2 linked regions of the Tribolium castaneum genome follow. The protein of the gene in region 1 binds, or shares a complex with, the protein of each later gene. Links are inferred from orthologs where the notes say so. Each region holds a gene or a part of one and is shown in the gene's direction. Other genes may lie near its edges.

What was found.
Region 2: tRNA (guanine(10)-N2)-methyltransferase homolog (region 1) and Trmt112 share a complex: the UniProt entries of both Homo sapiens proteins name them as parts of the heterodimeric TRMT11-TRM112 methyltransferase complex. The link is inferred for Tribolium castaneum from reciprocal best matches to the Homo sapiens genes TRMT11 and TRMT112.

What each region holds. Positions count from the first base shown.
Region 1 is NC_087397.1:8,654,807-8,658,954, reverse strand, and holds tRNA (guanine(10)-N2)-methyltransferase homolog, read left to right. Parts: upstream 1-1,422; 5' UTR 1,423-1,538; coding exon 1,539-1,604; intron 1,605-1,651; coding exon 1,652-1,717; intron 1,718-1,767; coding exon 1,768-2,016; intron 2,017-2,058; coding exon 2,059-2,193; intron 2,194-2,252; coding exon 2,253-2,516; intron 2,517-2,804; coding exon 2,805-2,943; intron 2,944-2,995; coding exon 2,996-3,194; intron 3,195-3,242; coding exon 3,243-3,519; 3' UTR 3,520-3,532; downstream 3,533-4,148. Other genes in the region: ppan (protein Peter pan), read right to left, coding at 3,533-4,148. UniProt on the Homo sapiens protein: Catalytic subunit of the TRMT11-TRM112 methyltransferase complex, that specifically mediates the S-adenosyl-L-methionine-dependent N(2)-methylation of guanosine nucleotide at position 10 (m2G10) in tRNAs.
Region 2 is NC_087394.1:6,130,965-6,133,899, reverse strand, and holds Trmt112 (multifunctional methyltransferase subunit TRM112-like protein), read left to right. Parts: upstream 1-1,654; 5' UTR 1,655-1,823; coding exon 1,824-1,901; intron 1,902-2,010; coding exon 2,011-2,307; 3' UTR 2,308-2,328; downstream 2,329-2,935. Other genes in the region: uncharacterized protein LOC655985, read right to left, coding at 942-1,111, 1,158-1,365. UniProt on the Homo sapiens protein: Acts as an activator of both rRNA/tRNA and protein methyltransferases. Together with methyltransferase BUD23, methylates the N(7) position of a guanine in 18S rRNA.

The sequences.
Region 1 (4,148 bases):
GAATTTTTAATAAAAAAATATAATTAAAGGTAGACAAAACACAAAAATATTTTTTTCGAATAAAATTTCGGAAAATTTCCAACCAAAATATCCTATGACTTTTTCACTCATAGCATAGCTCAAACATTTGATGATGAAAAACAGCTTTCAGGAAAAGATTCACAATTGAACCTCGCTTTACTGATGAACTCCTTCCTTCGCTAATACACATAACAAAAATAATTTTGTATGTTAATAAAAAATTAGACTTTAATTGTCGTTAATTTTCAACCCCCAAAACTGTCACTGGCATTTCCTTCCAAATAAATTTTGAAAGCAATAAATTTGAAATGTGTCATTCTCAAAGAAACTTTTCTAAAGGTTATTTTTTCTTGATAGTATCGGGTTCAATTTTTGCATGCACATTTACAATGAGGTTGTACATAAATCCATACAGTCCATACAGAAAAAGTTTTTGATGTATGTCTGTTACCTTTGCTATGGTCTTTACCGTCTGTATCCAGAAAAAAGTATAATAAGTCAGTCAATTTTATAAATTTGTTTGAAAATTAATTCATTAAACAAGAGCCGTATTTTTTTAGTAAATAATAGTAAATAATTTTTTAATGAATAATAAAATTACTGTCCTGTACTTCTGCACTTAACTTAATTAATTAAACTTAATTAAACTTAATTTTTTGATACCCAGATCTAATGCCCGTCATAATTTAATATTGTGCACCAAATATCGATAACGTGTAACCTATTTAATTTATTACCAGTTGAACGAGATTTCGCTTTTATTTTAATAAGAATTTAGTACTGTCCTTAGTTGTTACCACGTCTGGTATTTAACGTTAATTTTTTATTTTCTTTACTTTTTCTGTAATTGGGCTAGTGCATGTAAGAAAAACGTGGTTATTTATTTGTTTATAAATCACGTCTTTTTTCCTCCTGATCTGAGAAGTATCTTGCAATTGGCAATTAAGTCTCAACTTTATTCGGTCAGCATACAAAAAAAAGCTTTAAAAACTAAATAAAAAATGTGTAGTTTTCTGCGGAGTTCATTTCTAATTATTTTGCCTTTAACTCACTGATCCATGAACTATTTTTTGAGATATGTATAAAAGTATGAACACATTGTTTTTTGATCATTTAACAGTTCTCAGGGGCCGCCCTAAGTAACATTTATTGATTTAGGGGCCAGGGGGCTAAGAATTGAAGGCCTTGCTCTAATCAATCTTGTATAACCCGACATTCATGATGTAGTCTGAAAATTTGCTGTGACCTGATGCCCTGCAATCATACGCTTCAGGGAACCTTTTACAAAGGTATGCATGTGTTTTGTGCTTGCCTTTCATGCTCCATTGGTTGGAAGACTCAAGAATACAAGTAGAAAAAAGAATTAGCCATCACCCCGCCAACATTTCAAACTGAAACAGTACCACCAACTGAAGCAATTCTCAGATAACCCCACTTTTTCTCACTCACTACTTAACCCAAAAAACGTGTTTTTGCATTTATTTTTTACTCGAAACGACACTATTAAGTTATTCAAGATGAATAAACCGTGGAAAAAATACCTCCTGTGGTTTGCACAGGAACATATCGAATTTCGCTTCGAAGTTCGTATTCCCATTCAAATATTTTTTTTTCTCAAAATATTTTTTAGGAGATTGATTCGTTACTTTCCATGTTTCAAATTAAAATGAGACACTTCAAAGAACCAGATAATACCGTAACATAATCGTGACTTATTAATGAATAAGAGTTAAGCTAGATTTTTAGGCGCCTTATTGGATCGTTGAATTTGAGTCAGAAAGTGATTTGAAACGTTTAGTTAGCAGATCTGTCTCGATTAGATCATGTATGGAATTGTGGGCACATGCGAAAGATATCCAGAGTTTACACTGTCAGTTACAGAATTTCCCAAAACAGTTAATGGAGCCTTACTTTCAACCCCATTTGTCTTTCAAAATTGAAGTGGAAACTTTTTGTCGCCACTTCAGCCAAAAGGAAAAAATTAATAAGCTTGAAGTAGTGTTAAATAATTGATCGCCAATTTATTTTTCTGTTCAGAGTTTTAGTTATCTGCCTGTCCAAGGCCCTGTTAAATTAAAAGATCCAGATGTTTGTTTACATTACATTGAATATTACGGAACAAGGGCTAATGACCCACCTGAAAACCCTTACGATGTGTTTTTTGGCAGATGGGTCAGTTTTCATTACTCGTAAAGTAGTAGTAATAATAAGTTTCACATTTTAATTTTTAGATAGCTAATGGTTTGAGACAATTAATCAGGAAATTGTCGTTAAAAACTCGGAAATTTATTGGAAACACTAGTATGGATCCACAGTTGTCTTTATTGATGGCTAATCAAGCCCAAGTCAAGGATGGGGACATTGTCTTAGACCCCTTTGTAGGCTCTGGGTCTCTTCTGGTAGCAGCTGCAGAGTTCGGCGGTTTTGTCTTAGGAGGCGACATCGATTATTTGATGTTGCACGCAAGAACTAGGCCATCACGAATTAAACAAAAGGTAATTAATTTTTTCGGGAAAAATTCATGTCTTAATTGGTCAATGCCAGAAAATCATTAAAAACTGTTTTATTTTAAGTAATTTTCATATAAAATAATTATAGATATTATGAAAAAAGGATGCAGATTTTCGTTAAAAAATCATTAATGAATCTAGCTTTTTTCAATCAGTTTATTAATATGTTTTGTTTGTTGTCTTGCGTTCATAGTTATTTAAATACATACAAGAACAATTTATTGCGCACCGTATCATCTCCTAATATTTTTTTCACTACGTAAGTTATTTCAGGAGAGGGCAGCTGATGAAAGCATTAAAGCAAATATGGAACAGTATAATTTACAACATAAATATTTAGATGTGCTCATAAACGATTTCGCTTCATCTTTTTGGAGAGATGATGTTGAGTTCGATTCAATAATAACCGATCGTAAGTTACTCTTAATGAATGAATGAATCTTTCAATTTAGCGACTTTTATAGCCCCCTATGGGATCCGAGAAGCAACAGAACGAGTGGGCACAAGTAAAGAAAACTTCACCGTGAGCGAAAAACACCTACCCACACACATTCCAGCTAAAATTGAATATGGAATTTCTAGCATTTACAACGACTTGTTGAAATTTGCCGCAAAACATTTGAGGCTGGGTGGGAGGCTTGTTTGCTGGTTTCCTGTCTTTAGGTAAACCCCCCTCAATCGATTATCCAAACAAAGTACTTTTTTTTCCAGAGAAGACTATTCGGAAGCGGGTCTTCCCTCACATCCGTGTTTAAAACTGGTGGCAAACAGTGAACAAATCTTGACTAAAATAACGTCACGAAGACTTTTAACGTTTGAAAAAGTTCGCAATATTAACCCAACGGACGATTCCGATCAGAATAAAATTGTGGACTTTAGAGAAAAATATTATGTCGCTCGGGAGGAAACAAGGAAAGAAAAGCGAATGCGGGAAGCCAGGATCCGGAAAGAGAACTGGATCCAATCACAAAAGAACAATCCAATTTGAAATAAATTTATAATCATTTTTTAAAATTACGTTTGTTTTTTACCTTCCCTTTCCCAAAGGCTTGGCCACCGATTGGTCGCTGGTCACGATTTTGTAAATGTCTAGTGCTTTTTCCGTCGTTTCGTTTGAATTTTTTTGCGGAATTAGGCGGCTTTTCGCTTGATTTCCTCTTCCTGAACTGAACAGGTCTTGAGGGTTTTCTTTGCGATTGTGTAAACAAATCTTTATCGGGTTCTTCCCCCACCTCTTCCTTGTAGTATTCTGCATCATTATCATCTTCAACAGCAACCTCCTCATTTGATTCTTTCTTCTTCATTCCTTCAAGTGACTTTTCTTTTAATTCCTTTTTCATGTTCTCCTTCTTTTCCTTATTTTTCTCTTGTGTCTTCTTCCGCGCCTCTTTCAATTTTCTTTTAGCTTCACGTTTCTTTTGTATTTCCAGTTTCTCTTCGTCGGTTTTTTCGATTAAATCGTGGTACAAAACCTCGCCATCCAGTAGACCATCCTCAATTTTAATTAACTGTAAAGTTAGTCTTGGCCCTAGTTCTGTTAATTTGATAGAGGATTTCCCAGATTCAATATTTCCTCTTGAAATAAGTTTCTGAGATAACGTTACATGATTGCTGGGA
Region 2 (2,935 bases), on another chromosome or scaffold:
TCTTTGAATCAAACCCAGGTTGATATGGTCCATGACTATTTGGTAGCTACTTTAAGTGCAGAAGGTTTAATGAGTTTTCACCAATTTTGTTCTTCGGAAGATATTTTTGAAACCTTAGAACGTAAAAACATTTGTTGCCCAAAAGTTTTTTGGGGATTGGCCGAGAGAAAGCACCCAGAGTTGGCTAGTGTAGCTTTAAAACTTATCAATATACCAGCCAGCTCAGCTTCCTTGGAGCGTGTGTTTAGTAATTGGGCATTTATTCACAATGATTTGAGAAATCGTTTGGATGCTGATCATTCGAGAAAAATAATGCATTGTTATTACTCCCTGAAGATGCGGGAAAGTAACGAAGTCAGTTAAAAAAGAAACATTGGTTGTGTTTTTTTCCTCGAGATTAATTCTTTTATTTTGTTTTTTGAGAATAGACTTTATTTTGTTTTTTTGAGAATAGACTTTATTTATTTTTTTTTTGAGAATAGATTTTATTTTTTGTTTATTACTAATCTGTTTTGCCAAATAAAGAAAATAATAGAAAATTGTCTTGTTTTACTGTTTACTGACTACAATTTCTGATGGTAAAAGAACTTACTTAATTAATAATGATATGTATTTAGTAATAGAACATTTTTGATTCATTTTTCTCTTCTTGAGAACAAATAAATGCTACCAAATTTTGACGTAAAAAATAGTGTAATTTTTCGGTAATTTATTTGGATTGATGACGTAGAAAATGTGCAAAAACTACGCGTCGTTATACTGTAGAACGACGTTTCAATATCTACGTCACAACCCTGACTACAACCTACCAGGGCCTGCTTTTTTGAACAATTTTTTTAAAGTAATGTGAATCAAGTGGTAATAATTGTCAAATAAACAAAGCCAACTGTTTATTGCCAAAACTCAAGACAAGCGACTTGATGATGATGTTGATGACTCACCCTGTGTACGGAACGCTTTCCTACCTTCCTATTATTATGAATTTGTGCCGCTTTTTGGTGTCTGATAGTACACGTGTGTTTGAGGAGACTCAACCGATGGGCATGGAGCGTTTTCTGACAGTAGGTGCAATAGGCCCGCGTGGGTTCCCCAACGACTCCTCTAAGCCAACCTTCGAAAAATTCGTCAAGTCCTCGACAAAAACCCCCAATTCTCACCTTTAAAATCGGGCATTTGCTCCCATGCTGGGCGATACGTCTGTTTGTAATATTTTCCTCTAACGATATTCGAACTGCTGTTTGATAGACTCAATGTGGCGTAAGAAACCGACGAGTCGTCTAAATGCACCGGAATTTCGGCCAATTCTTGCGAATCTTGAGACTCTTCTTCAACTTCTTGAATTTGCTCACTCTCTTCGCTTTCCATTTCACGCGCCAACAGCAAACGGTTATTTTTCTAAGTTACTAAAAAGCCGAAATATAACTAACTGCAATATGGCGACGAGTTGGGGATTTAGCGTTGGGATGCACCGGAAATACCTCAACCAAGTACCACAAAACCACAACTATTTCTCACCCAACTGGGCAAAAAACGGCCCCCATTGATAAAACTTACCAAAAATTAATCACAAATTTCAAAAAAATAACTACGGCGGTTCAAAAATCTTGATTCAATTGTTTGTACGGTTAAATAGTTGTTAAAGAGTCACCAAGTTCCGTTCGAAGCGAGGCGCGAAATTTGAACCAAAAGCTCATTGTAAATCAATCAGTGATGGGGTAAGCATCCAAGAGCGCAAAAAGTGTCTCACGCGAAAAACTGGCCGATTTAAACAATTAATTGTCCACTGGTGTGAAAAATACACGTAAATACACAAAAATCGGAAAATGAAATTGTTAACCCACAACATGCTAACCTCCAAATGCATGAAAGTCGTGACTGTGGGGTACCCGCTTGGTATTAACGTGAGTACTTTACGTTTTTAATACAATTCAGGCGAAAAACGCCCCTAAAATCGGCTAAATCCGACTTGTGTTGTTTGAGGTTATGTCAATTTTTTTCCCAAAATTTCAGGCTTCGGACGTGCGAGTGTCCGAAGTGGACTTCAACCCGGACTTCGTGGCCAAAATCATCCCAAAAGTGGACTGGAACGTGCTCTACAATGCAGCCCAAAGCATAGGCCAACTGGAGGGGCTCCCGAAGGACGTGGTCGAAAATTACGAAAACGACCACGAGTTCCTGAAAAAAGCCCATCACGCCTTGCTGGAGATCGATATAATCAACGGCGAGCTGATCTGTCCCGAAACCGGACGGAAGTTTCCCATAAATAACGGGATCCCGAATTTGTTGCTGAATGAGGACGAGGTGTAAATAAAACAGTGATAGTAACCATGAAGGCATTTTATTTTGAGACACAGTACAATTGAAAGCGTTTGACATTGTACAGCTACCAAGAAAATACGAAAATTGCACACTTTATCTAACAGCGTGTAAATATGTCTTGTCAATTTTTACAGTACAAAAATATTTGGGGTACATTAGGGGACTTGAAATCGTGATATAGCTGGATATGTGGGGGCACAGGTATTTCAAGTGGGCGGCATAAGTTACAAGCCACAGCCTTCCAAAAAATAGGATGCGTTTCTGGATCACTACATTGCTCCGAGTGTTTATTAAAAAAAACGTGCAAGAGTGCTGTGATTTCGGGAAACTATGGATATCTAGAAATGACGTACAAATAAAACGTTCCCGTCCTCGATAGTTCCGTTAACGTCGCCAGAGAGCGTAGTTAAAATGGTTGTCTGTCCCATATTTTTTTGGGTTAAAAAAATCGTCTCCTAACTTATAGTCCTCCGTATTCATACAACACTCTTGATGCACGTTCTTTTGTGAACACTGTACAAGTAACAAAATCTTTGGTTGTGAAATTGCAGATCAATCTGAATAATTCGATGCCAATATCCTCAAGCTTTGCCGTTTTTTTTTAAACACTGCATGC